7 linked regions of the Rattus norvegicus genome follow. The protein of the gene in region 1 interacts with the protein of each later gene in a biochemical or structural test. Links are inferred from orthologs where the notes say so. Each region holds a gene or a part of one and is shown in the gene's direction. Other genes may lie near its edges.

Region 1 (4,232 bases):
CTGGAGCCCAGGAACCGACCCTGTCTACTTGCAGGTGTGCCACTTTCTTCCTCTAATTTCAAGTAAACATGGTATGTGCCACTACTGTGTAGAAAGGTTGATTTTTAAAAGGAACAGCAAGAATGGAAGGCAGTGCTTAAGCAATGAATTTCTGCCACATTATTTCTACTTTGCATTTGTGGTTTTATCTACCTCCTTCCCATACAGCATGTCAAAAACAATTGCTTGCCCCTTATTTCAAAATGCTTTTTAAGATTTCAACTTTTTATTTGTTTATTTATTTACTTTTCAGGATTCAGAAATCAACTGACTGCAAAGGTCAGAGAAAACATTTTCCCTTCTACTTTTTTTTTAAATACAGTAAAAGCTTGGTTTAGCTTACAGTGCCCAGTACAAGTCCAGAATACAAGAAAAGCAAGGCTGGGGGAGGAGCTTGGCACTCAAATCTACTCAGCTATCAAACAGCGATATTCTGCTCATCTCAGAAAGAAATGAAAATGTGTTAAGTAGCACAGAAATTGTCTCGAAGCCTGTGCATCCATCTGCCTGTCTGCTGGGCTTGGAAGAAAGGTCTGTTAGCTGGAACTCCATGCAGCCAGAAGTCGGAAAGGTAAGAGGTGTGCAAAGTCTGCCATTAAGTAGGAAGAAACTGCCTGCGATGGTCCCAGAGGGTGAATCCCACAGGAGCTACCTTCCAATCCTGTAACAGGGTTCTCAATAGTAAGCCACTTTTTCAAGTGCAAAAAAGCCTTTAGGCAGCTGGTTTTCGACGGTTGGGGTTTATTTATTCCTTGCTCCACAGATGGGGGAAAAAAAAATCAGCGTCTGGCAGCCGCTGATTGGTGGAAACGAAAATGGTGATAGTGGAGTGGGAAAGAGGATTTGCTGAGCCTCCCCCTGCCTCCTCGACCTGTAACTCTTCCTTAGTCGGCTCCCCTTCACACCCAGAAGAACCTTTTTAGACTCCTTCGGGGTTAAAACAAATGGAATTCTCAGGCTGTGTGAACAAAAGCAACCCGAAGGGTGTGTGCTCCCTCCCCTCGCCTGGCTCCGCACACAGATCATTTCAGGCGGTTCAGTCCTCTGGTGTCCGCTTCCCGGCTCGTCCGGAGGAGGGGGGTCGCCTAGAGGAACCGAGAACAGGCTGAGGCAGGGAAGAAGGGGATGAGATAGGAAAGAGGCCAGCTCAAGTTCAGCCACGATAAAACCGAAGGCCCCCTGAACTCGAGGTGAAACTCAGGCTACCCTCTCTTCCCTCCTCCTGGGGAGCGTGCTCCCGGTACCCACAGCCCTCACGCACCGCCATCCCGTCCCCTCCCTAGGAAAACGAGCGAAGGCACGAGGCAGGCGAGGGGCGGGGAGAGGAGCTGACAAATCAGCTGCGGGGGCGACGTGAAGGAGCCAGGGAGCCAGAGCGCCCGGCAGCAGACGGCAGGAGACCAGCAGGTGCTCCCCCTGCCCTTGCCCCTCAGCCCAGAGCCTTTCACCCCTCTTGCATTGAAATTAGATTGGGGAAAACAGGAGGAATCAGAGTTCTGCGGAAGCCTAGAGAGCCGGTAAGTACCTGTAGATGCAGTAGCTCTGGGGATCTTGGAGAGCCCTAGCTAACAACCTGGACGCCTAGAGGAGACAGACTATGGCTACCTTGGCCGTGGGGACAGAGTCAGTGACTGGAAAGTACATCACTCGGTTTTCCTTCCGTTGGAGACGTGCCCTGCCATCCTCTCAAAGCCCGAGGGAAAGGCCAGGTTGCCTGTGGCATCTGCTTTTTTCAAGCGGAAACGCTAGGGTGTTTCATGTTGGATGCTGGATGCTGGAAGCTGAGTGCTGGGCATTGGGTGGAATTTGAGCATCCAACTTTTATACTCCAGCCCCAGGGCATTTCATCTTCCTTCTATAGCGGAAGAAGGGTGCATTTGGCCAGTGATTAATAGAAGTGCAGAGGACAGTAGGCAACAGGTGATAAGGGGTTAATGAGCACAGGGTGCAGGGTCTTCTAGAGGATTCCAGCTGAGGACAGAGCTTCATGGTTGGGTGGTGCTCAAGTGATAATGCTCAAGTGCATGGACAGCCAGCGCCTGCTCTGGGCAGATAGCCAGCAACTAGCTAGTGGTGGGTGGAAGGTCTTGCTAGGTTAGAAAGACTGGGCTGAAGGCAGTTGGTCTCCAGTTCCCTACTTCTGGATTAAACAGTTCCCCTCCCTTCCTTCTCCAAAGATTGACGACTCCTCTCTACGTCTTTTTTCCCTCTTGCCCCTATTCCACCTCTGCTCCCTCACCCTTCAGTTCTTTTTCCAGATAGTCTTTTTACTTCGAATGTCTCCTTTGGGCCATGGGAACTTGATGGGGTAGAGGAAGTCCGTCTCCTCTTCAGTAACTCCTGAAATGTGTGAGAACAGCCAAGTGATCCATCTGGATCCATCACATTCTTAAGTGGCATGACTTTTTACTAGTGTTGAGTGAACTGCTCACAATCAATCAACACTGTGCCCAGTCCTCAAAAAAAAAAAAAAAATCTCACACCAGGATGAGGCAGGAGGGGTGGGAGGCATATACTTTTTTTTTTTTTTTGTGATTTCTTTCGCCTCAATTTCATTTCTTTCTCTAGCTGTTTTAAACCTTGCTTTCTTTTACCCCAAAATTTCTAATTCAAAATGTATTCTGTATTCTCTAGTGTGGAGCAAAGATACATCTTTAGCCATGGATGTGTTCATGAAAGGACTTTCAAAGGCCAAGGAGGGAGTTGTGGCTGCTGCTGAGAAAACCAAGCAGGGTGTGGCAGAGGCAGCTGGGAAGACAAAAGAGGGCGTCCTCTATGTAGGTAGGTAGTGACACTGTGACTAATGAATCAGGGTGACTGCTGTGTGCTGTCTGATTCGTGCGCATCACAGCTTCTCAGCTGACAGAGTGACAGCTATGGGGAGGTGAGAGAACGCGAACCGAACCTGCATATTAACTCTCAGAAACAAACAGGGACAGTGCTTTCTTTCCTTAGAATAATTAATTTTGTCATTTATGTAGGGTTTTTATTTGTTTTTCTACAATCTTGTGCATGATTACACTGAATTTTTAAAATTGTCAACCCATGAAAAACAACCAAGAATGTGCTTATGAATCAAAGACATTTATGGCAGCAAGCTTGGTGGCACATATCTGTGATGCCAGGGTTTGGGAAGTGCAGGCCCAAAGATCAGGAGTTGGTGATCATCTGTCAGCTACCAGTGTGTTTGATGTCAGTCTGGGCTATGTGAGACTCCAGAACAACAACAACAACAACAACAACAACAACAACAACAACAAAACCCAAACAACAAAAACAAACAAACAACTTAAAAAAAACAAGCTGCAAGTACTCTGGGACTTTGATTTCTTTCATCATCACTATAGTTAATATTAAGTTTAGCGAATTACAATGTTTAAAACAAGACTTTTGCATGATTTTGCATGTAGTGAAAATACAAATACTTTGGCCCCCAAAAGAAAAGGAAAGCAAGTCTGCCTCAGCATGTCTCCCTTTAGGGATCACTTCGTTGGTGTGGATGCAGGAGCTCAAGGAACCCCAAAAAGATTTGTGCAGTTCACCTGTCCGAGATCATGCATACGGGGAACAGTAAGAGGTTGATAGTGCCATTTTGCCTGACAGTATACCTTGAAAGAGAGGCCAACACTTCCTTTATCTTTTCTCTGTGTTAGATTGGCTCTAACTTTACAAATCCCTTCCAATACTAGGATGGGAGGAACAGACACACATGCATACACCCTCATGTGCAGCAGAGGCCCCGTGCACATGGGAGCACAGTTGCAGGGTTCATTGACCTCTCTTTCCTTTTTTGAGCACCTGTTTCCACCTTCTTAGGAGTACATCTACCTTGGTAGAAGACCTAGGATAAACATTCAGACTGAAAAGGTGCAGGACAGGTGACAAAAGTGACAGAGATGCTACCCAGAGTACCAATTGAGGGAAGTCATCCTGACCCTCCAGAAGATCAGTGTGGAATTGACATTTGCAGACATTTTCATGAATGTATCTTTCTCATTGGTGTTTCTAGCAGATCACCTTGTCCCATTCTTCATAGAATAATTTCACATTGAGTAAATTCTCTCTTTTTCTACTTAAAACAACCTTTCAGAAAGTCTGGAAATGAATATTGTAAGAGAAAGGTGTCATTGAGCTAATTTTAGAGTATTCTTTTAAAAATGAATCTGAAGAATAATGTTTTAGATAGAATTTAA
Region 2 (3,574 bases), on another chromosome or scaffold:
CTATTTTCTTAACTTCCAAGCACATTCTGTTACACATACTCTTATGTCCAGAGGAAATGGACTCTTACTGCACATAAATTTTCCTTTTCATAAGAGAGTACAAAACTCTGTTACCCAAAGTAAAAGTAGTTATTTTGTGTCGTGTTTAATTATATTTTATGATTAGTAAACTGTTGCAAACACTTTTCAAATTTCTAAGCAAAGTGCCTGCCTTTAATCCCAGCGAGAAGGAGGCAGACAGGCAGAACTCAGTAGGTCAGCCTGGTCTACATAGTGAGCTATCTAGGGCTACACAGAGAGACAGTGCCTCAGAAACAAAGAACTACAATAGTTCAGAAATCATTAGCAACATGTTGAAATCCTTCTGAATCTTTGTTCTGGTGATGGAAGGGAGAGAAACTTTTCTTAGAATAGTAGCTGACATAGCTGCTTGCACCCATCATCCTGGTATTATTGACAGAGACAAGGAGGTGCCCTAAGGCCTGCTAGCCAGCCACTCTAGCTGAACCATGAGCCCCAGTTCAGTGAGAAACCTGTCTCAAAAACTCAGATGAAGAGTGATTGAGTAAAACATGGCAACAGCAAGTCCTGGTCTCCATATGCACATTCATACACATATACACAAACACGCACACGAACACACACACACACACACACACACACACACGAACACACACACACATGCACACACGCACACACACACACACGCACGCACATTAGAATGTATTACACATAGTATTTATAGTATTCCTTTTTCATTTAAGACTAGTAAAGTATAATATACACACAATTATTAGCCAAGTTTTTATATGCCCATAAGTATTCAAATAACAGTGCTTTAATAGTTGCCATTGCAGAAATGATTGAAATTCCTTCACTCGTATTGATGAGCTATTAATTTCTTCATGGTTTGTCACGAATGTGAACAATAACCATCCTTTTCAACACTCGATTGCTTCCTTGGGAAACTGAACCATGAGGATGAAGACTAAACGTTTTTAAGGCTTCTGAGTGGATGCCATTTGCTGAGTTTTCATGAAGAGTCTTCTCCCTCTAGTCTGCCAGCGGCCATGCCTCACACACTGTGTTCCTTGGTTGTCTCCTACAGGCAGACAGTGGAGCGCGTCACACTGCAGAGTCAACTCCAACAACTTCTGGAAGCCCAGAAATCAGAGGGCAAGTCCCTCCCATCTTCACCCAGGTAACCCCAGTCATATTGCTATTTGAATTGTTGGGTATGTGATGAAATCTTTAAATGTTCTTCTAGCATTCTGTTTATTCCATTTAACACTTTTCAAGAAAATACTTTATTCCTACAAACATAAAAGATATCACAATGAAATGTCTGTGTCTGGGATCATAGGACCTGAGGCAGTTTCCAGCCCAGAGTTTCTGTTTCTTTGTGCCACTTGTATTGACCTGTGAAATGAGAACAAGGATGTATAGGGTGATTAGATTGAAGTAATGAAATTCATACAAACGTGGTTCGTAGAAAATAAAACAGACCAATTCTGTCATGCTCTGGCTACAGCTGATAGATTGGAGTCTTTGTTAATTGTTCAGAAGAAAACATTATGTAATCTAATCTTGTTTTCCATAAATCAATAATTGTATGAAAGGTCGTGCAAGGTCTTATGGATGCATCTAGTGCAGTAAGAAACCATCTTATATTTTCTTTATCTTCCTTCCAGTTCACCCTCCTCACCAGCTTCTAGAAAGTCCCAGTGGAAAATTCTAGATGCAGATGACGAGTCTACAGGCAAAAGCAAACTGGGAACCCAGGAGGGAATACAAGTCCTTGGAAACTTATCCAGCAGGGCTAGGACCAAAGGAAAAGACGAAGACTCTGATAAAATCCTACGTCAGTTATTGGGGAAAGAAATATCAGAGAATGTCTGCACCCAGGAAAAGCTGTCATTGGAATTCCAGGATGCTCAGGTATCCTCTAGGAATTCGAAAAAAATACCTCTAGAGAAGAGGGAACTGAAGCTAGCTAGACTGCGGCAGCTGATGCAGAGATCTTTGAGTGAATCTGACACGGATTCAAACAACTCTGAGGACCCCAAAAATACTCCTGTGAAAAGAGTGGACAGACCTAGACCACAGCCCATTGTGGAAAGTGTGGAGAATATGGACAGTGCAGAAAGCTTACACCTGATGATAAAGAAACACTCTGTGGCATCAGGACGCAGGTTTCCTTTTGGTATGAAGGCCTCCAAATCCCTGGATGGGCACAGCCCATCTCCCACTTCAGAGAGCAGTGAACCAGATTTGGACTCCCATTGCCCGAGCCTGGGAATGACTCCTCCAACCCAACCTTCTACAGAAGCCACTCAGTGCAGTCCTGACAGTGCCACTGCCCAGAAAGTTGCTACAAGCCCCAAGAGTGCCCTCAAGTCTCCATCATCCAAGCGCCGGACATCCCAAAACTCAAAACTGAGAGTGACCTTTGAGGAGCCTGTTGTGCAAATGGAGCAAACTAGCCTTGAACTAAATGGAGAAAAAGACAAAGAGAGGGGCAGGGCCCCCCAGAGGACTAGTGAGTCAGGAGAACAAATGAAAAGGCCTTTTGGAACCTTCCGATCCATCATGGAGAGTTTAAGTGGTAATCAGAACAACAATAATAACTACCAGCCAGCCAGCCAGCTGAAGACCTGCACACTACCCTTGACGTCACTTGGAAGGAAGACAGCAGATGCCAAGGGAAACCCTGTGAGCCCTGCTAGCAAAGGAAAGAATAAGGCAGTGAGTGCTGTTTGGAGATGTATTTATGCTTGTATTACTTTTAATTGATTGTGTTATTGTTACTGACTGTGCCATCTTGGAGGAAGGTCACCCCAAGATTCAAAAATTCATATATATTTTAATGACACATGCCAGTTTAAGATGAATGCCCCTGCACTTCCTTTGGAGAATACAGAGAGAAGTGAGTAAAGAAATCGCAGATTAGGTCTGACCCCAGTTTCTTGTGCTTTGGGCATTACAAGTTGTAAGCCAAGAGGCATTTATACAAGATGAAACCACCCGTCAGCATTAAATCAGTCCGCCATTGGCACTGATTCTGTCTCGGGAAGAGTCTGTTCTCCTTGTGGACTGGGTACAAAAGCCCACTTTAAAAGCATATAAACAGAAACCCCATTTCTTCTAAACGACCTAACTCAAATAACCTTTGAAATGAATATCCCCCAGGGACTGCCACATAGCCTGTTAGCACACACATCTCTAAGTGTTGACTAGATACTGGAGAGACTGAAGGGCTTGCCAGTGGACAGGAGAAGGCAGAATGCATTGTGAAGTCATTTATAGCGGCACTTCTTGGAAACCCGCCTCTAAGAATAAGAGATAGGAACATCGTTTTAGGCAGCGATTTCTGCATGCTCTGCGCTTGACATGCCATCAAAAACAGTGTAGCAGCCAAAGTGCAAATCTCTCTGTGGAAGGAATGCCTTGGATCATTCACTCTCCCATTTACTAAACCACCCAGTAGAGCGTCGGAAGCTCATCTTCTACTCCTTGTTGGGATTCCTAGTACAACAGTCTTAAGAGCTGTCTAGATTTCTTGCTGTGGTACCGA
Region 3 (3,574 bases), on another chromosome or scaffold:
TCCACTTCTTATATTCCTTCAGTCTTCAGATGAACGCACTGACTGATGGGAGACAGAAGTGATACCTGGCTGCCTTAATAAAAGACTGAGTAGACGTCTGCAGGCAGATAACAGGATGGCAGGGTTTCCTTCCCCTGTGACCTCTGAGCCCATTCCCAGAGCACAGTTCTAGTGATGATGCTGTTCATGCTGGGAAGAGTTGACCCGGCTCTAATGGTCTTTGGCATATGAACTTCATAGGACTAAAGCAGTAGGTCCTGAAGCTATGAGCAAACTCAGACTTGAGAAAAAATAGATGGAGGTGGAGACTCGGGAAAAAAGTCCAGCCCAAATAAAGTTTATATTGTAATTTAAGGTTTTCTTCTTTTAAAAAAGATTTGTTTTTATTTTATGTGAATGGGTGCTTTGCCTGCATGTCTATCTGCTCATAATATGTTTGAGTGCCCTGGCTGCCTCTAATGAGCAGCCATTTGGGTGGTGGGATTTGAACACTGGTCCTCCGGAAGACCAACCAGTGTTTTTAACTGCTAGGCCATCTCTCCAGTCTCCAGCCCTGTATTTAATTTATATTCCTCCTCTTCCCCTCCTCTTCCTCCTCTTCCTCCTCTTCCTCATCCTTTCCTCCTCCTCCTTCCTCCTTCCTTTTTTTTCTTCTTCCTTCTTTCCTTTTCTTCTGCCTCCTAAATGTTGGGAGTTAAAGGCTTGTGCCATCTTGCCCAGCTGTATTTAAGTTCTTAAGACAAAGACAGTTTTGTAGTTCTTTATTGTTTAGGAACTTTTTTGAAATTAGGTCTTCATATGTAGTCCTGCTTGGCCTGAAACTATGTATGCAGACCAGGCTGACCTCGAACTCCCTGATCCCCACCTGTATGTGTGTCTGCAGTGCAAGGGTTAAAGGTGTGGCCACAATGCCTGGTGCGATTCTTATTCTGTGTAGTCCACCCAGAGATTTCCACTGCTTTAAGAACAAAAAAGTATTTTAAACATGCTGGAGAACATTTTGGAAATACAGTTTACTCATTATATAACTCCAGAAAATTAACCTTTAGCGTTCAATTTTTATTTTATTTGTATATGGATTTAAAACTATATTTACTTAATTTTATTCTTTTATTCACGATAAATTTTGTGGTATGCTTTACAAGTATTTATGACATGTATACATACATATCTACTAATGTGTTATATTTGTAACTTTCCCCCTGCTTCCTTTTATTTTCTTGTTTTCCTTTACAGAGATGAGCCGTCAGACTGCTACAGCATTACCCACCGGCACCTCAAAGTGTCCACCATCCCAGAGGGTACCTGCCTTGACTGGCACAACTGCATCCAACAATGACTTGGCGAGTCTTTTCGAGTGTCCTGTCTGCTTTGACTATGTATTGCCACCTATTCTTCAGTGTCAGAGTGGCCATCTTGTTTGTAGCAACTGTCGCCCCAAACTTACATGTTGTCCCACCTGCCGGGGCCCGTTGGGATCCATTCGCAACTTGGCTATGGAGAAAGTGGCCAACTCCGTACTCTTCCCTTGTAAATATGCCTCTTCTGGATGTGAGATAACTCTGCCGCACACCGAAAAGGCAGAGCACGAGGAGCTCTGTGAGTTCAGGCCTTACTCCTGCCCCTGCCCTGGTGCTTCCTGTAAGTGGCAAGGCTCCTTGGATGCTGTCATGCCCCACCTGATGCATCAGCACAAGTCCATTACCACCCTGCAAGGAGAAGATATAGTTTTCCTTGCTACAGACATTAACCTTCCTGGTGCTGTTGACTGGGTGATGATGCAGTCTTGTTTTGGCTTTCATTTCATGTTAGTCTTGGAGAAACAAGAAAAATACGATGGCCATCAGCAGTTCTTTGCGATTGTACAGCTGATAGGAACACGCAAGCAAGCTGAAAATTTTGCATATCGACTTGAGCTGAATGGTCATAGGCGGCGATTGACTTGGGAAGCCACCCCTCGGTCTATTCATGAGGGAATTGCAACAGCCATCATGAATAGTGACTGCCTAGTGTTTGACACCAGCATTGCACAGCTCTTTGCAGAAAATGGCAATTTAGGCATCAATGTAACTATTTCCATGTGTTGAAACGGCAATCAAATATTTCTGGCCAGTGTTTAAAATTTGCATTTGACTTCACAGAGAATAAGGCACCCATCTGCTTGCCAACCTAAACCTCTCCTGGTAGGTAGAAGCTAGACATGAAGGTAAATAAAAAGAAAAGCTGTTAATACAGGAAACAGTTGCATGTAGTAACACTAATATATTTAAAAATAATTCAACAGTAAACCACTGAAAAATATATATACCCAAGATGGGCATCTTTTGTATTAAGAAAGGAAACATTGTAAAATATTTCTGAACTTTGTGTTTGTTGTAGATTGATTGTATTGTTGACAATTTTTTGGGGGTGTGTGTCTGTGCACGCATGCGTGCACGTGTGTGGTTGGTTTTCCTTTAACTGACAAGCCATCTGCGTGGTCATGGGCCACCGCTTTCCCCTTGTGAGTCAACACACAGTGCTGCTGTGGGGTTGTTTTTTGTTTTGTTTTTTGTTTTGTTTTTTGGTGTGTGTGTATTTGCTAATTTTTATTCTAGTTTTTCATTAAATAAATTTGACTTTCTTTTCTGTAATTCAGGTTTTTCTCACTTTTGTACCTTTTAAGTTAGCGTCTTTTTGATATCCATAATTGCTTAATGTCAGAAGTTTGTGTTCAGTACATACTTTCTTTTCCTTCAATCAATTTATTAGACATTTTTAATTCAGCCCTTCTGTGGAAATAGGAATTCCAGAAAGGAAAGGGAGCAGAGCAGCTCGTCGAGGCTGAAGCAAGTACAGGATGGTCTCGCCTCCCGACTGCTGTCCTACGCCGTCAGGTCAGGCTTACTCTCTGAAAGGTTAGCTTAGGGAGTAAACTCTGATCACTATAAATTATAAAATAATCAGGCTTTTCCTCTCTTCAAATGTCTTGGGCAAATCACATGTTTAAATTGGTTCTTGTATTTATTGGTTTTGCAAAAGAGTGCATCATCATACACAGTATTTGTAATTAAAGTAAATCATTTGTTTTTAAAAAAAGGCAGTTTGCAAAAAAATGTTTTTGGTCTTTTATAATTCTCATTAAAAGATTATCTGGCAAATTAAAAAACATTTTAATGTGTTTACTTTAGCTCTAGGTTTTTGTTTTTGTTTTTTGTTTCCCTGGAGCTGAGGACTGAATGTAGGGCCTAGCACTTGGCAGATGCTCTACCCTGAGCTACACCCTCACCCTGTGGCCCTAAGATGGATAAACTCCAAAGGTAGTTTCCTGTTCCGGTCTGTATTTTAGAGCAGAGGATTGTATGCCACTGTTTGAAGTATGTTTTATTTTAAATCACAGAAAAGACTGGACAGCTCTCCCTCCCACTTTCATTCCATTAGGACATTGGGAATATGACTAATTAATGCTGATTATTCTTTTCCTTTGTGAAAAAAGGTGAGTTATTTTATCCTTTCCTAGCTCCAGTGGTGTGGTACTGACTCTGCAGTCTGATTTTCAAGTTTCTAGGCACCAGTTTACCTCCACCCAACTTAA
Region 4 (4,098 bases), on another chromosome or scaffold:
TCAGGAAACAGGAATTACCTATAAAGAAAATCAGGAAGGCGAAGTGTTTCTTTTTATGAAGTTACATCCTGCCATAGAAAAGCTGAATCGGAAATAAAGACCGACTGCATACCAACCCAGTTATTATTTCATCAAGGAAAATCTGAGTAAAAAGCTCAGCCCAGCCACCAATGAAAACAAGAAAACCAAGAGAAGTTTGAATGCATCGAGAAGCCAGACAGGCAATGGCTACTCTAAAGAGCTAGGAAAGCGCCCAAGCATCTCTACTGTGTGGTTTGGAGGTTCTTTGTTGCAGGCCCCTTGAATTTTAGTCATACTTCCTCTCACGTTTCCTGATGTGTGTGTGTGAACATGAACATATTTGGGTGCTCAAGAAAATGAGACTAGCAAATTATGAATTTCTTCTTCTTATTATTCGTTGCGCATTTGTTGGTTCGAGCTTTCCCAGTTTCTGCACTGGTACTTCTCTACTTTGCTCCTCACTTCTCCAATTTGCCATCGCCCTTCTTAACACCTTTCCACTTTATCCTCCCACTCCTATTTCTTTGGAGAAATAGGTTCCCATGGCTGTGAGGCTCGAGTGGCAGGTGCCAGTCTCCACTAGCAAAGTAGGAAAGCAGCTCGTTCCCTGCGCTCTCTCCTGTCCACCCCACCAACTCGCAACTCCACAGGATCCTCAGACACACACCTCCTCCTTCTCCTCCTCAACCTCGCATCCTCTCGCACACCCTGTGGCCCTGCGCACGCCAGGCTGCCCGCCACCACAGTAACGCTCAACCCACTCGGCGGCCCCACCCATGGCCGTCCCGCCTCCGACGCGCGCACCAATGGCTGACTGCGCTCAGCCCTCAGCGGACCCTTTGATAGGGCAGAAGGAACTGACAGTCTCGGGGCGTGTCCCGCCCCCTCTCGAACCCCTCGGGATCCGGAGCAGCCCGAGCATCAGCGAGAGTAGCTGCGAGAAGCCGCGGCGGCGGCGCGTCGGTGCAGTTGCGCCATCTGTCAGGAGCGCAGCCGGCGGGGAGGGGGCTCCGCGGAGAGGAGGAGGGGTCGCTGTGCGCCGAGCCTCCGAGACCCGCCCGCTGATCAAGAGCGCAGCGAGGCCGCCTCTAGCCGGAGCGCTCCGAGGACTCCCCGGGCGCACACAAAGCCGCCGCCCGCGCCAGGGAGGGACTGGGCTGCCGGGCCGGGGACACCGGCGCCGCCCCCTCGGCGCTTCGCGAGGCCCACGAGCTCCTGGGCCCGGCCGCGGAGCCACCGGAGCCGCCAGGGCCTCGCCGGAGGAGGGCGGGGAGAGGACCATGTGAATGTGCTCCGGAACCGAGCGCCACGCCACGCAGGTAAGCGACCGGGGATGCGCGGAGCCTCGGGATGCTGCGGAGACGCCCGGCCCAGCGCCCCCGCACGGGCTGCCCCCGCTGCGGTCCCGCCGCGCAGCCTCCAGGGCGCCCCGCGACGCAGGACACTGATGCGGGGTGCCGCCCGGAGGCTGCGCGGGCACCGGGGTGCCATTCCTCGGCCGCCGGCAGGCGCCGGGTGAAAAAAATAAGAATTGGCTTGGGGGCGAGGTTGGCCCAGCTCCGCCTCCGCCCTCCTTTCGCAGCCCCCCGCGGGGACCCGGGCTGTGTGTGTTGTTTTAATGTCAGGGATGATGTAATCACTTAATAATTGATGCCCGGTGCTGCTTTCCTCCCCACCCAACCCCTGCCCCACTCCTCCACCTCCCGGCCTCCTCCCTCGGCGGCCCTTGCCTTCCCCAGCGCATCCTTCTGCCTATTTCTGGAACCTCCCTTGCACTTCCCCCACCCTCCCCTTCACCCTTCCTGTGCTGCCACCCACCCACCCTTCCCCTTTCCCCTGTGTCTGGCCTTGCCTTTTCTTCCTCTGTCCCCCACCCCTTCGGCTTTCAAGCTTATTCCTCCTCCCTTCTGGACTCGCTGGATTTCCTCCCTACTTCCCTAGGTCGGTAGATGGTTTTGTTTGGTCTCCTCTAGGCTCTCTTATCTCTGAGGCCACAGGGACTGGGCTAGAAAGAGGCCACCAAGCTTGGGCCCAGGAGGCATTGGCTGGGACTCACTGGGAGGAGGGATAATAAAATCACCCATTTTGCCCCTCCTTCCTCTAATAAATCAGACTCTCTCTCTCTCTCTCTCTCTCTCTCTCTCTCTCTCTCTCTCTCTGTGTGTGTGTGTGTGTGTGTGTGTGTGTGTGTGTGTGACACAAAGAGCCCTTTCAGTTCATAGAAAAGAGACACATAAAGTCCCCAAGGCACCACCATGCTTCTTGTCTCATCCCTGGGGCTTCCCTTTCTTTCTGATGAAGCAGTTGATCTCTAGTCCTTTCTGCCACACTCACCAAAAAACGAAGGCTCCCGATCCCGGGTGGCAGGTGCACTTATTTTGCTGTATTCCCAGGGTGGTGGCATTGAGTGGCAACTGCAGTTTCCCCTATTTAAGGGAGGAATTATTTCAGCTGTTTTAGGAGTTGCTATACTTTCAAGGAACCCTCCTTCCATCCCTCGTTTTCCTCCCCTTTCTTCTTGGGGGATAGGTACTGATACCTGAGACAGGATAAATCAATGGGTGGGGGGATCAGAAGAATTTTGTGTCTGAGTCAGAATCAGTTCACCAAGAGTGAGGCAGCCTGACTGGATTCTCTAAAGTCCAAGGCCGCTTTGCTGAATGAAGTCTTTTGAAATGTGCTGTGGTGTCCAGCTATGCTCTTTTATTTAAGTGACCGGGGCTGTGGCATGAACGCACTTGGGCTGGCGTTCGGAAGACCCTGGAGGCACCACTTGTCTGGTTCAAGGGTGACTTTGGATGCCCACATCCTCTCAGCACCAAAGCAGCTTACAGTAGTTTTCACCCTTTGTGCTCAGTCTCCCTGCCCCTGCCCCTGCCCCACGAGTACCATGCCCTCAGACTTGGGAGGAAGTGGTTTCAACTCTCAAGCTTTGGGGCTAGCTGACTATGAGCCGGGGGTGTAGATGACTGGATTCAGAACCCATGATGTTCCTCTTAAGGTAGAGATATTCATGTAAATCTCAGACATAGTGTGTCAGAAACTTTGGTGTAGTCTGCTGATTCCTGGATCATGTTGTGGGGCCTCAAGTGTTCAAAGTAACGGAACTGTCCCAAGTTTACTTTTTAGCTGTTTTATCTGAAAAGAGTTGTGATGAATTAAGCTGACATCCATTGTGGAACATACATACATACATGTACACACATATACATACATACACATACATACATGCACACACATATACATACACAGATACACATATATACACATACATACATGTACACACATATACACACATATACACATATACACACATATATATACACACACAGATACACATATACACACATACATACATGTACACACATATACACACATACACACACACACACACACACACACACACACACACACACCATACATACAGCAGAAGGGTTAATAATGAATGCTCTCTGGAAACAAAGGCTGGTTTGTTGGGATGCCAAACCCAGAAAGGAAAGTCAATACACAATAAACTCACACTGTACTGACCAAGTCAGAGGCACTTATTAATAAGGTTAAATGAGTGTGAGCAAATGCCCTCTATTTTCTGACGGTCTGGAGTCCCCACCTCTTCTGATGTTCTGAAGCCCAGGCCCAGCACAAATGTTGTCTCTATTCTGAAACCTTCACCGGCTTCTCTGCTCCAGCCAAGCCACCATGTCTCCAAATTTGTCTCCCAACACCATCGTCAGAGTCTGTTTTTGTTTATTGTCCATTTCTGCCACTGGGTCGAGAACCTAATCTGGCTTGTCTCATTTTCATTGGGTTTTACTCTGGTTGGTATTACTTGGTGGCTTCATTTAATGAGCGACAAATATGAATCAGATCAACGATACATACGTACGTACGTACCCAGCGTCTTTTAAGAAGACTCATGTTAGTAGCTATAGTAGGCCTGAGAATGTATCATGGTACAAAAACACAAGAGATTCGTCTGTGCCCCTGTGATAGCACCACATACGTGTGTTTCTGCTCAGAAGGGGGCTTGCTCCTGTACAATGAGTGATGCTGGGTCCCGTTCTCCCATCATGCCGT
Region 5 (4,309 bases), on another chromosome or scaffold:
AGGGATCAAGGTATTTCTAAATGACCTTTGTCAGAACCACTTTTTCCTTTTGACCCTGTGTTGTGAATGGGTCTTTTAAATTTTCCTAGAGCTTTATAAACATTTCCATATCTATGGTTACCAGATACTGCCTTTTATAGTAATAATCTGTGTTCCAGTGTTCTCAGATTGTCCCATGAGAAGTGCACCTAATGCTATGAGAAATGATCAAGAAGTCCCCGATCCTGTCACAAGAAGTTACCAAAAATTGCTGTTGCCTGTGCCTTTAATGCTGGCACTTTGAGGCAGAGGCAGAGAGGCAGGTGGATCCCTAGGGGTTCAAAGCCAGCCCTTTCTACATAGTGAGTTATAGGCCAGCAAAGGACTATACAGGGAGACTCATTCTCAAAAAATGAAAATGTCATGGGCAGTGCTGTTATTAGACTTTGTTGTATTTTGTTTAATATGCCACAAGAGAGTAGTGGGTTGTTACTATGGAGATAGTGCCTGTAGCCATTATCCTTTATTCTTTTTCTGCTTTGCAACAGGGTCTAGCATTGAATTCTATGTAGGCAAAGACAGCCTTGAATTTGTGACCTTGCTGCCTATGCCTCTCAAGGTGTAGGTTGATGCCCAGCTGTTAGACTAATTATTCAGAATATAAATATGTAATACTCATTAACACTCTTAAGAAGACTTGAATCCCAGCAGTTGGAAGGCAGAGGCAGGCAGATCTCCATGATTTTGAGGCCAGCCTGGTCTACAAAGTAAGTTCCAGAACAGCCAGAACTGTTACACAGAAAAAAACAAAAAGGGGAGGGGGAGGAGGAGGAGATGACAACAATTTAATCTGAGAATTAAAAAGCTTTGAAAATCAGAGGGTGCCTTATGTATGTATTCCTATAAAAGTAATACAGTACTATCTACTTTGATAGATGCTCAAGAACTATCTCAACAACCACATGGTGGCTACAACAATCTGTACTGAGAGCTGATGCCCTCTTCTGGTGTGTCTGAAGACAGCTACCGTGTACTTATATAATAAATCTTAAAAAACAAACAAACAAACAAACAAACAAACTCAAGTCTCATACAAGCTAGCACTCAGTCCTGGAAAACCGCTGAATATCAGTTTGTCTTCCAATTTTTATTTCTGGTCTTGGGTAACTTCCTTCTAACACCGCTCAAGGATTGATCCTTTGCACCAGAGAAAAAAGGATTTTTATGTTAACCCAGCTCTGGTGCAACAACGTCCAGCAACTGGACCAGGACCTGACGAAGTAACTGAAAGCAGCTTCGGCCCGCCCAAGAAGCCAGAATACCAAAGTAGCTGTCCTGCCCCTAAGGTCCATGAAGGCTCTTAATTGGGTCTTAAGGCTCACTCTCTTTCCCGGTTGGTGTTCTAGCTTGCCTGTCGCTTGTGAAGAGTCCTTCCACCTCCAGTCAACGCTTATTGGTGTGTCGTTACGTCATTGTCCCGTCAAGCACACTCTCATTGGCTCCCATAGGAGGGGGCGGTCTCAACGTCACGGGCTTGAGCCGCCATTTTGACTGAGCAACCATAGTGACAGTAGCCGGAGCAGCAGCTCAGGTTGTCTCCGTTTCCCCTCCCCCTTCCCTTTTCCGGCTGACTTCCCGGGCCCTTCACTGCACAGTCCTGGTCCTGCCATGTCCCAGAAACAAGAAGAAGAAAACCCTGCGGAGGAAACCGGCGAGGAGAAGCAGGTGAGGAGAAGGGGGAACGGGGGCGGCCGCGCGGGCGGAATACGCCCCGGCCGCCGCTGATTGGCCGCCTCTGCCTCGGGCTCCACAGGGGTTGGCCACTACTAATGTCGCGCAGGCTACATTTCGGCGCGGCCTAGTGCCCTAATGTCGATTAGTCAAGCCGATTGTCAATCTGTGGGATCCCCAGTCTTATTGGCCAATAGACCTCTATTCAGTTCATGGAAGCTGTTCTATAATTGGCCGAGCTCTGGCGTGGGCGGGTGTTTGGAAAGATGAGGCGAATGAAAGGGGGCTGGCTGGTGGTCCTGAGCTGTAAATGAGATGTTTGATTAGTAGAGATAACCACCAGACCGGAGCTCATCCTTCATCCACAGCAAGATAAAGGTCAAGGTGAAGACATTTAAAATGAACCAGCATGGGGGCGGGGGAAGGATAATTATTACCGCGAGGTAGGTTCAGGTGGCAACTTCCTCAGACCTATTTGATAGGGATGATTTGTTGTTCACCGTCGGTGACTTATAGATCCCCTCGAATTTCTCTTCAGTGGGATGTAGTCCACTCACCATTGCATTATGAAAACACTAGTGCCAAACCCCTTCTTCAACATCATATTTGAGTTACTTAACACTGAGCTCAAGGACTCATTAAATACACTTTGTGTTCTCTCTGAACCTGTTTTTCAAATGAAAATACACTAGCCAGGAGATGGTGGCGCATGCCTTTAACGCCAGCACTCGGTCGACAGAGGCAGGTGGATCTCTTGAGTTCAAGACCAGCCTGGTCTACACAAAGAACCTGTCTCAGAAAATTTTTTAAAAACACCAAAACAAGAAAAACTAATGGCATGTTGATTTCTGTTTACCTCTTGCCTGCCTGCATTTATGAAAGTATATTACTCAGGTAGATATCTTTAGAATAGGCTACATGCCGAGCTAGAGTCCACAGCGAGACCAGATTGCTTCTTAGAGTGTGAATGAGGAGGGAGCCTCTCAGAAGATTAAGCTCCTCTTACCTGTACGACAGCCAGGAACTCTCCCAGGTCCTTTTTTTATCTTTCCTCCTAGCAATACTGAGTGAGTTATGGCTTGCTCTATGATTCAAGTATCATGTTTAGATACTACCTTTACCCTAATCCTCACAGGTCACTGGGGTGATTCCTTGGCTTAATATAAGAACTAGCTTGTTTTTCTTTACTTGATACAGTTATCTTGGGCAAATCTTTGAGCAAAGGTCTAACTTTTAAGAGTGGATGAGCAAAAAAGATGGCTCCGTGGTTAAGAGCACTCATTGCTCTTGCAAAACACCTGGATTCAGTTCCCAGCACATGGTAGCTCACAACCATTTACAATTCTGCTCTAGGAGACCTAATGCCCTCTTCTCAACCCAAGGGCACCAGGCATCCATGTGGTACACAGTCATACATGCCTGCAGAATACATGCACATAAAGTAAACCCTTCAATAATACACACACTAGACAGAACAGAGTGTAGATAGCATATTTACAAAGAGGTAGACCTCCAGGAAAATTTTGATAATATAAAGGTAGCCAGATATTAGAAGTCATTGGTTTTCAGCCATTAATTTCACTTGGCTTGTTTTCTTCAGGATACACAGGAGAAAGAAGGTATTCTTCCTGAGAAAGCTGAGGAAGCAAAGCTAAAGGCCAAATATCCAAGCCTAGGACAAAAGCCTGGAGGCTCCGACTTCCTCATGAAGAGACTCCAGAAAGGGGTATGGGACGCCCTTATACTGTGGCACCTTGGATGAAGTCTGTAGAGGTTCTACTGCATGTTTTTCTGTAGGTTTGGTTAATAGCAGTAGTAAAGATGAGCTAGAAACTTGAAAAGAGAAAAACATTATTGTGTTTTTCACATTATTGTGAATCTCTGCAATGATGTTACTACTTCCCTATACTATAGAAAATGAAGGCTTAATGTTGGGCATTTGGGTAGGTAGCAGATAGGGACTGAAGGGAGGATATTAGAGACAGAAGACCCAAAATTCTTAAACTGGCGCAGTAGGGTTCTTTAGACTATTAAAACTAGCATCACTCCCCAGCTCTGAAAAAAAAGAAAAGGGAAAAAAAAAAAAAAAAAAAAAACTAGCATCACACATTAGCTATACTCCTAGGAGGAAAGAAATTTGTTTTAGCTGGGTGTGCTGGCTCGTGTCTGTGACCTAAGCACCTAAGCTGAAGCAGAAAGATCACCACAAATCCAAGAGCAGCCTAAGTTTTAGAATAGCGTAGGCTAGGGCTAGAGAGGTGGATCAGCAGTTAAGAGAATTGGGCTGCTGTCTGCCAGAAAGGCAGTGTCTGGTTCCCAGCACCCACATCAGGCAGCTGGAACCTCAGCTCCAGGAGAACCTCTGGCCTCCATGGACACATACAGACATGATTTTTTTTTTTTTTTAATTGTAAAAGTACATGCTTTTAATACCAGCACTGGGGAAGCAGTGGCAGTTAGATCTCTGAGATTAAGGCCAGCCTGGTATACAGAGTAAGTTCCAGGACTTTTTGAGACACTTTCAAAAAAAAATAAATAAATAAAAAAGGTAACACAGAGACAATTCTTTTCCCTGTACAGAATGATAGAGGATATGACT
Region 6 (4,204 bases), on another chromosome or scaffold:
GGCTTAGAGGAATTGATTTACTGAGTCTTAACATGATAAACAAACAGTACACCGTTGTGAGTTGCCAGGATTCAAATCAATGCATCTCGTAGAAACTATGCTTCAATACTGCCAGAGCAGTAATCAACTTTTTGAAGGTTATGTGATAAAGACTTCAGTGTCGTGATTATAAAAGCCTCATTCAACAAGCATAACGCTCCTGATTCTAATTACATGCTTCACTTGGCTTATCTTGCTAACTCTAGTAATGCCTCTGTGAGGTTGTGCTAGTGTCTGTGTTGGGCAAGTGTGGAAACAGGCTTAGAAACCTGGAATTAGTCAGATCATATGGTATGTGTCACTGCTAATAAATCTTATTTGATGTGATTTACAAAGAAACCTCAAGGACAGCTCTCTTTTTGTGTCCACCAAAGATAGACAGCATTTTCCAGTTTCTTTTTTTTCCCCCCTCCGGAAGCTGAGGAACGAACCCAGGGACCTGTGCTTGCTAGGCAAGTGCTCTACCACTGAGCTAAATTCCCAACCCTCCAGTTTCTTGTCAGGAAAGATGAGTAGCTTTCTAGCCAGCATCCGATGATGACACAAAGGAATGTAGAAAGGGCCAGTGAGGACTGACTACTCCTCCCTCAGGCCTGCTATCCAGAGCGAGACAGACAGCAGCTCCCTGCAGTTCATTGGAACTGCTGCCACCAGCTGTCTGAGAAGGGTCCTTTTTCCTCTCAAGGAGTCCTGTGAGTGCACCTGTCAACATTTCTGTCTGTCTTCATCTGTAACTCTGTAAGTATCTGACTCATGTGTCTCACTAGTCTCTTTAGAGCAAAGATTGTGTATATGTGAGGGTTTGTCGTTTTTCATGATAGGGTTTATCTGTGTAATAACCCTGGTTGTCCTGGAAATTGCTCTGTAGACCAGGCTGGCCTTGAACTCGAAGGGATCCCCCTGCCTCCTCCTCCCAAGTGCCAAATTTAAAGGCATGTGCCACCACTGCCAGGCTGTATGTGGGGTCTTTTAAATTTTGTTTTTATTTTTAAATTATATCTGTGTGACGGTATGTGCATGTGAATACAGTGTCCCTTAGAGGCTAGAAATCCTCTCTGTCTTGGATTTAGGAGCCTCTACTCAGCTGTTCATAAAATCCTTGTTAGAATTCTCTTCCTAAAGCTGTCATCCTTTAAGCCTCCCAAAACCTCACAGGGTATACAATGAATGAACAGCCTGGACGGATCCAGCTGCCCATCACAAATATGGCTTCGATTGCCTCACTTCCAGCATCACGTGACTGGTTTAGTCATCACGTGACTCTGTCCTCCCCTTTAAGCCGGAATTGCTGTGCTAGTCCGGCTCCAATAGATATGGTATCTGTCAATATACTTGTTTTATTTGGTAGATCTTCTAACTCTCCAAGACTCTGAAACTGCTACAATCTTCTTATCCACTGATCCTGAGGAGCTCAAGTTCTCAAGATCTTCCAGAGGTAAGGAAGCAGGGCTACAATTTGCCTGGTCAGTCTTGCTTCTGGAATTCTGCCCATCCAGATTAGGGAATTCAGTGAGTTCAGATTTTATTTTTTTAATTCAGGGCATCATGCTCTTGGAGTAAAGCACGGGTGGAGGGAGGACTGAAGGCTGAAATGGATGTGGGGGAAAGAGTGAAGAGAGCCCTCTTTGGAGTGGGCAACCGAGTAAAAGCAAGACCCCTCCAGTGTCTAAGGACATTGTCTGGTCACTAATAAAGGTGGGAGCCCATGCTGTAAACATCCACAGGCGGCTAAACTCTGGCCAGGAGAGTGGTCGCAGGATAGAGAGTCTTACATTCATTTCCTCATTTCCTTCTCAGAAGCGTCCTGGTGTCATGGCTGCCAGGTTCATAGGACTCTTCCTATTTCAGGCCATATCTTGGGCATATGGTGAGTCGAGGATGGGGATGGAGGCATGACGGTGTTTCCTTCCCCATAGTCCTCTGGGGCCTTTCACTATGATGGTGGACTTTCAGTAGGGACTCTGTAAGGCCCTTAGAGTGCCTGAGACATCTTTGGGCACAAGGAGTACAGGGGAAGGATTTATTTATTTTTATTTATTTTTATTTTTTTATTTTTATTTTTTCGGAGCTGGGGACCAAACCCAGGGCCTTGTGCTTGCTAGGCAAGCGCTCTACCACTGAGCTAAATCCCCGTCCCCTTATTTTTTTTTTTTTTAATTGTTGTTCAGACTCCTTAACTAGCATGCTCAGTCCCCCATAAACCTACTTTGATGCTTGCCTGTGCTTGTGCCCTGCTTTCTAGGTGCCCAACCCTGCATCCCCAAAAGTTTTGGCTACAGCTCAGTGGTCTGTGTCTGCAATGCAACGTACTGTGACTCTCTTGACCCCCTGACCTTACCGGCTCTGGGTACCTTCAGCCGTTATGAGAGTACTCGAAGCGGACGTCGGATGGAGCTGAGTACCGGGTCCATCCAGGCCAACCGCACTGGCACAGGTAGCCCCTTTATCTGCCCCTCCAAACCTGGACCCCAAAGTCACAGTAGTGATAGTGATCTGGACTGATTTCCCCCTTCTTCTTCCAGGGCTCCTACTAACCTTGCAGCCAGAAGAGAAGTTCCAGAAAGTGAAAGGATTTGGAGGTGCCATGACAGATGCCACTGCGCTCAACATCCTTGCCTTGTCCCCCCCGGCTCAGAAACTGCTACTCAAGTCCTACTTCTCTAGCGAAGGTGAGAAAGGGCGGAGCAGGATGGCACACTGTAATGTATGCCCTTCTTTATAGCCTGGCTTTATTTCAGTTTTTTTTTTTTTTTCTTTTTTTCGGAGCTGGGGATCGAACCCAGGGCCTTGTGCTTGTTAGGCAAGCGCTCTACCACTGAGCTAAATCCCCAACCCCTCAGTTTTTTTTTTTTTTAAATTACATTTTATTATCTGTTGTATGTGCTGTGCATGAGTGAGGAGGTCAGAGGACAATTTGCAGGTGTCCTCTGTCTCCTTCCACCATTTGGATCATGATTCAGGTCTTGCAGGCTTGGCAGGAAAAACTCTTACCCTACCCACTGAGCTGTCTTGCCAGGCTTTTTGCTCTCGCTTCCATATTTCCCCCTGACATTTGCCTCCCTTCCTTTTCTTCTCCCCTCTCCTCTCAGTCCCTCTTTGAGTGAGTCTCATGTATTCAAGACTCAAATCTACTGCAGTCAGTGATATCAGACTTTGAACTTCTGACCCTCCGGCGTCACGTTTCCCGAATGCTGGAGTTCCCCTGTTTTATACAGTGTTGGAGCGCAGACTCAGGCTTCATGCACCCCTGGCAAGCATTCAGCCCCCTGAACTACATCCCCAGCCTGCCTCTGTTTTCCCCTCTTTCTCTTTGTCCCCTTCCTCCCTTACTTTCTGTAGATCAGGCTTCCCTCGAATACTGTGTAGCCATGACTAGCCTTGGACTCTTAGTTTTCTAAGGGCTGGGATTACAAGCAGATGCCACCAAGTGTACCTGACTCAGTGCCACTGATTCTCCACAATTCCACACCTAGACCCTGGCTCTGAATGAGACTCTGTGGAGGACAACTGATTCAAGCCAGTTTTCATACTCGCCTTATTTTATTTTATTTTATTTATTATGAGACAGGGCCTTGCCTTGTAGCCCCGGTTGGCTTGCTCACATTGATCCGGCTGCCTCAGCCTCTGGAGGGATGGGATTCCAGGCGTGGTGCCACCACGCTCGCTTCATACTCTCCTATTGATTCAGACCTCCCTATCTGGGCCATCCTTTCCTGCAGGCATTGAGTATAACATCATCCGGGTACCCATGGCCAGTTGTGACTTCTCCATCCGCATCTACACCTATGCTGACACCCCTAATGACTTCCAGTTATCCAACTTCAGCCTCCCGGAGGAAGACACCAAGCTCAAGGTGGGCATTCCAGTTGCTTCAGCCCTGTTGGTATTGCTGTCTTGGGGCTGGGAAGGTCCAGGTTAGAGCTGTCTAGAGCAATGTGGAACCTTCTACAGCCTATCTGACTTGGGGGTAAGAGGGTGGGGGCTGATGGTTGGACCTGATACACTGGTTGAACTAGTATGTGTTCCAGCTCTGGGTGTCTCTCTCTTGACTGTTTGTCTCCAGATACCCCTGATTCACCGAGCCCTGAAGATGTCCCCACGCCCCATTTCACTCTTTGCCAGTCCCTGGACATCACCCACTTGGCTCAAGACCAATGGAGCAGTG
Region 7 (4,240 bases), on another chromosome or scaffold:
AACTTGCCTTCACTGAGCCTGAGCTCTGAGGCCCCTGCCCTGCCGCCCTCCCCAGCTCTGGCGGCCCGGGGCCGAACATAGTAGCCATGGTAGAGGGTGGGGGTCAGGATCTCTTCTGGCAGGAGGCCTGGGAGCAGAGAAAGAAAGAGAAGGCAAGAGGCAGGATGAGGAAGAATGCAGCGGGCACAGACAGGGCTGAAAGGCGATATCTGGAGATATGGGCTAGAAGAGCAGGTGGGAAACTGTAGAGGGGCTGGGAAAGGAGAGGAGATGGTTACGGAAAAAGCGAGCTGGAACTGGAGGACAGAAGCAAAACCAGAAAATACTCTGAAGCGTGCAAGGCCCGGACACCGAAAGCCCTGCCGATCTAAAGTTTGGTCCTGAAGTCTGTTAGCAAGACCAGAGAGAGTCTTGCTTGAGGGGGGAGTCTGGGGTGGGAGATGGCTCACCTCAGGAGTTCACTTAAGCCCCAGGTAGAGTGGAGGCCAGTGAAGCTGGGCAGTGAGCCCAGAATTTCCGGAGGTGGGGGTAGGAAGCATCTGAGCCATACCTTCTCCGAAGCGCTGCTCGCCCAGGCGGCTAGGGTTGGCAAATTCGTACTCGGCAGTGGCTGGGTGGGCGTGTGGCACTGTGCGGCCCGACATGACTGCTGTTGCGACTAGTAGCCCTGATCCCAAGTGTAGCCCCAACAAGATCAAGGCGACCCCTCCAGCTTCAGAGGGAGAGCCAGGACTCAGTCAGAGTGGGGGCGGGGTCTACACCACCCAAAATAGTGCAGAGCGTCTGGGGGATGGGGGAGGGGTGGGAGCCTAAGTCTAGAGTGCAGCTATGAGGGTGTGATCAGCGCAGCCTGGACCCCCTAAGTCCCCTCCTCTGTATACCCTTCAGCTGTCGCATAGGCCTGGAAGAACAGCTGAGGGTCCTGGTCCTAGAGTAAGCTGGGAAGAGAAACTGGTGCGCTGCAGGAGGGCAAGGAGAGGCCTGGTTGGGCCCTTCACCAATTGTACATTCCACATCACCCTTTGTCCTTATCAGTCTCAGGCACTGAGCACATTACTTAGAAAAAAAAAAAAAAAAAGACAATGTTCTATGAGCCACAGAACGTCAAAAATACAAGAAACATTTTCTGTCTTTTTAATGTCAGGGTCTTCTGAACCTAGATCAACTCGGGGTTCCAGTCAGACACCTAGTTCTGACATATTGGTGGTCACAGCTCTCCTCTGGGACTCCACAAAGAGTTAATGTCCCTGGGGCTCAGCCCAGGAAGATTCCAGCCTCTGCCCAGGCCCAAGATAGTTGCTGGCTCAATTCCCCTGGCATGCAAGACTGGAGAGGAGGAGGGGCCCACCAGCAGCTGCTTGGGATTCCAGACCCTGTCCTGGCTCCAGAGAACAAGGATGGGGTGGGTGGGTGCCACTAGGTGTGGACAGAGAGCTAGTGAAACAAGACCGTGACAAGTCACCGGCCAGCTCAGCCCTGCCCCGTGTTTCTCTTTTCTTAGCTCAGTGAGTACTGGGTATGTGTCACCCTGCCAAATCCCTGATCACAAGTCCCCATGAACTGTCGGGGAGCTGGGATAATAAAACCCCTGACATCACCGTTCCAGAAGCTTCACAAGACTGCATATATAAGGGGCAGGCTGTAGCAGCGGCTGAAGGAGTTGACCGGCTAACCGACTCTACACTCATCTAGCCATCATGGACATAGCCATCCACCACCCCTGGATCCGGCGTCCCTTCTTTCCTTTCCACTCCCCAAGCCGCCTCTTTGACCAGTTCTTCGGAGAGCACCTGTTGGAGTCTGACCTCTTCTCTACAGCCACTTCCCTGAGCCCCTTCTACCTTCGGCCACCCTCCTTCCTGCGGGCACCTAGCTGGATTGACACTGGGCTCTCAGAGGTAAGTCTCCCTTGTGCCAGGGCAGGAATACGTATCCTTCCTGGTCTCTCCATTCCTTTGCCCTTTCACCCTGCCTAAGTCATTTTAGGCATGTGCGTGTGCAAAGGTACAGAGAAATGAGGTTACTGTTTTCTTCTTCCTGTGGGCACCTGTTTCTGTTTGATGCTCCTGTTTCCTGGTCCATTTTTCTGTGCATGGTGCCTCTTTCTCCTCTTTCAACTCCTTTACCCACCTCTTTAATAGTCCCAGTCCTGGCAGATTTTATCATCTCAAACTGTAGAGATCAGATAGAAACCCACTCATTCTGGGCTTTTCCTGTCTTCTTTCCTCCCCACTTCCTTTTGATGGAGCTGGATACATCAATCAATATTCTCTCTCTCTCTCTCTCTCTCTCTCTCTCTCTCTCTCTCTCTCTCTTCCTTGGCCTATGACTTTCCGGGTTCCTCGGGGCTGAGACAGTGCATTGACTTCAGTCCATGCCTTAAGAGGACCGCTCTTGGGAAGCCCTGACTTCTTATCTCAGCAGCGTGGGAGATAAGATTAACAGAGGTTGTCACAGATAACACTGTGGTTTAAAAATATTCGCGTGTGAGGAAACAGGAGCTGAGTGAGCAAGGGCTTTGGAAGGACAGAACATTCCAGATCGAGTGGGTTGGAAACTTGGCAGGCAACTGAACAAGAAAAAGGGGGCTTTTGTTTTATAGACAAATGACAAAGCCAGCACTGGGTAGAGAGGCAGCAGATGCCATCCCCAGACCCATTCTTGTGACTAGTCTCCTACTGACCCGTCTTCTTCCCTGTGCCTCTCGGTAAAGTTTGGGACTGATGGATGACTAAGAGGTGTCTTTTGGGTATCACCATGGTGGCTCACATATACCAGTGTCACTAGTCATAAGAGGATTTTTCCCCCAGCAGCCAGGTAGAGGATGGATTACCAGGGCAGGAAGTAAATCTCCTGGACGATGAGCCTTCTCCAGCTTAATGGACATTCTACCATCTTTTCTCCTCCGCCCCCTTGTTATTCTAGATGCGTATGGAGAAGGACAGGTTCTCTGTGAACCTGGACGTGAAGCACTTCTCTCCAGAGGAACTCAAAGTCAAGGTTCTGGGAGACGTGATTGAGGTGCACGGCAAGCACGAAGAGCGCCAGGTGTGTGGACCTTTCTGCCTTCTCTTGTGAATTCATTTAGTGCCCTGCTGGATGCCAGGGACTGCCGCCACCAGCCTCTGAGGCTGGCAGAATTCCAGTCCCCAAACATAAGACTAGATCAGGAGTTATAGATCAATGGCTGGGAAACAAGTTAGGGCTAGATCTGCTGTTAGTGTTGTGGCTGTGCTGAGAGAACTTTCCCCTGGATGTTCCTTTTGATTGCCTTGTCTTGTCCAGTGACGTCAGAATAGCAGAAGAATTCTCAACATTCCCAACCCTCAGCACATCCTAGGCCAATTGAATCTGAAGTTTTAGGGACATAGCTCAGGCATCAACCTTTAAACAAACAAACAAACAAACTCACTCCTTGGGTACTTTCTGTACCCCAAACTGGCAGCCATTGCTCTAGGCACAGTGTGCTGTACATAATGGCTCTGCGAAATGACAGTCACCACGGAGTCGAAGGCAATAAAATCTGTGGCTTTTGAATGTTCAGGATTCCATGCCTCTTCTGCTCAGTTTAATGCTATGCTACTTGGTTTGTCTGCTTTTCAGAGCTTCAGGCTTATGGCTGTGAGGAAGTTAATTGAGATTTGTTTGTGTGGATGCTTGGGGTACTTGGGATTCAATAGGTAACAGGATTAGCATCCACAATTCCTCTTGCATTTTTAGCATTTTTTTTTCTTGACTTCCTAAAAAGGTGTTATGATTGCTTCTTAAAAATTAATGACTTGGGGGGCTGGGGATTTAGCTCAGTGGTAGAGCGCTTACCTAGGAAGCGCAAGGTCCTGGGTTCGGTCCCCAGCTCCGAAAAAAAAGAACCAAAAAAAAAAAAATTAATGACTTGGGGTTGGGGATTTAGCTCAGCGGTAGAGCGTTTGCCTAGCAAGCGCAAGGCCCTGGGTTCAGTCCCCAGCTCCGAAAAAAAGAAAAGAAAAAAAAATTAATGACTTAGGGCCTGGAGAGATGGCTCAGCAGTTAAAAGCACTGACCGCTCTTCCAGAGGTCCTGCATACAATTCCCAGCAACCACATGGTGGCTCACAACCATCTGTAATGGGATCCAATGCCCTCTTCTGGCATGCAGGTGTACATGCAGATAGAGTGCTCATACATAAAATTAAAAAAATCTTAACAAAAAATAACTCAGCTGTGCCGTGGTGGTGCATGCCTTTAATCCCAACATTTGGGAG

Evidence for each region.
Region 2: the proteins of Snca (region 1) and Sncaip form a complex in vitro, tested with the Homo sapiens proteins (3 studies listed by BioGRID and IntAct, with this or other methods). The link is inferred for Rattus norvegicus from reciprocal best matches to the Homo sapiens genes SNCA and SNCAIP.
Region 3: the proteins of Snca (region 1) and Siah1 form a complex in vitro, tested with the Homo sapiens proteins (3 studies listed by BioGRID, with this or other methods). The link is inferred for Rattus norvegicus from reciprocal best matches to the Homo sapiens genes SNCA and SIAH1.
Region 4: of the proteins of Snca (region 1) and Fyn, one has a biochemical effect on the other in vitro, tested with the Homo sapiens proteins (3 studies listed by BioGRID). The link is inferred for Rattus norvegicus from reciprocal best matches to the Homo sapiens genes SNCA and FYN.
Region 5: the proteins of Snca (region 1) and Ensa form a complex in vitro, tested with the Homo sapiens proteins (2 studies listed by BioGRID, with this or other methods). The link is inferred for Rattus norvegicus from reciprocal best matches to the Homo sapiens genes SNCA and ENSA.
Region 6: the proteins of Snca (region 1) and Gba1 form a complex in vitro, tested with the Homo sapiens proteins (2 studies listed by BioGRID). The link is inferred for Rattus norvegicus from reciprocal best matches to the Homo sapiens genes SNCA and GBA1.
Region 7: the proteins of Snca (region 1) and Cryab form a complex in vitro, tested with the Homo sapiens proteins (4 studies listed by BioGRID, with this or other methods). The link is inferred for Rattus norvegicus from reciprocal best matches to the Homo sapiens genes SNCA and CRYAB.

What each region holds. Positions count from the first base shown.
Region 1 is NC_086022.1:91,123,502-91,127,733, reverse strand, and holds the start of Snca (alpha-synuclein), read left to right. Parts: upstream 1-1,418; 5' UTR 1,419-1,556; intron 1,557-2,673; 5' UTR 2,674-2,699; coding exon 2,700-2,820; intron 2,821-4,232. UniProt on the Homo sapiens protein: Neuronal protein that plays several roles in synaptic activity such as regulation of synaptic vesicle trafficking and subsequent neurotransmitter release.
Region 2 is NC_086036.1:48,530,967-48,534,540, forward strand, and holds part of Sncaip (synphilin-1), read left to right. Parts: intron 1-1,108; coding exon 1,109-1,201; intron 1,202-1,691; coding exon 1,692-2,745; intron 2,746-3,574. UniProt on the Homo sapiens protein: Isoform 2 inhibits the ubiquitin ligase activity of SIAH1 and inhibits proteasomal degradation of target proteins. Isoform 2 inhibits autoubiquitination and proteasomal degradation of SIAH1, and thereby increases cellular levels of SIAH.
Region 3 is NC_086037.1:36,572,626-36,576,199, forward strand, and holds the end of Siah1 (E3 ubiquitin-protein ligase SIAH1), read left to right. Parts: intron 1-1,236; 5' UTR 1,237-1,238; coding exon 1,239-2,087; 3' UTR 2,088-3,148; downstream 3,149-3,574. UniProt on the Homo sapiens protein: E3 ubiquitin-protein ligase that mediates ubiquitination and subsequent proteasomal degradation of target proteins.
Region 4 is NC_086038.1:44,321,434-44,325,531, forward strand, and holds the start of Fyn (tyrosine-protein kinase Fyn), read left to right. Parts: upstream 1-1,230; 5' UTR 1,231-1,307; coding exon of another isoform or gene 1,308-1,340; intron 1,341-1,519; exon of another isoform or gene 1,520-4,098. UniProt on the Homo sapiens protein: Non-receptor tyrosine-protein kinase that plays a role in many biological processes including regulation of cell growth and survival, cell adhesion, integrin-mediated signaling, cytoskeletal remodeling, cell motility, immune response and axon guidance.
Region 5 is NC_086020.1:185,872,993-185,877,301, forward strand, and holds the start of Ensa (alpha-endosulfine), read left to right. Parts: upstream 1-1,507; 5' UTR 1,508-1,647; coding exon 1,648-1,704; intron 1,705-3,310; coding exon 3,311-3,436; intron 3,437-4,309. UniProt on the Homo sapiens protein: Protein phosphatase inhibitor that specifically inhibits protein phosphatase 2A (PP2A) during mitosis.
Region 6 is NC_086020.1:176,905,857-176,910,060, forward strand, and holds the start of Gba1 (lysosomal acid glucosylceramidase precursor), read left to right. Parts: upstream 1-1,345; 5' UTR 1,346-1,474; intron 1,475-1,836; 5' UTR 1,837-1,851; coding exon 1,852-1,906; intron 1,907-2,281; coding exon 2,282-2,473; intron 2,474-2,561; coding exon 2,562-2,708; intron 2,709-2,797; exon of another isoform or gene 2,798-2,872; intron 2,873-3,758; coding exon 3,759-3,892; intron 3,893-4,102; coding exon 4,103-4,204. UniProt on the Homo sapiens protein: Glucosylceramidase that catalyzes, within the lysosomal compartment, the hydrolysis of glucosylceramides/GlcCers (such as beta-D-glucosyl-(1<->1')-N-acylsphing-4-enine) into free ceramides (such as N-acylsphing-4-enine) and glucose.
Region 7 is NC_086026.1:59,990,163-59,994,402, forward strand, and holds the start of Cryab (alpha-crystallin B chain), read left to right. Parts: upstream 1-1,368; 5' UTR 1,369-1,697; coding exon 1,698-1,898; intron 1,899-2,925; coding exon 2,926-3,048; intron 3,049-4,240. Other genes in the region: Hspb2 (heat shock protein beta-2), read right to left, coding at 1-127, 551-644. UniProt on the Homo sapiens protein: May contribute to the transparency and refractive index of the lens. Has chaperone-like activity, preventing aggregation of various proteins under a wide range of stress conditions.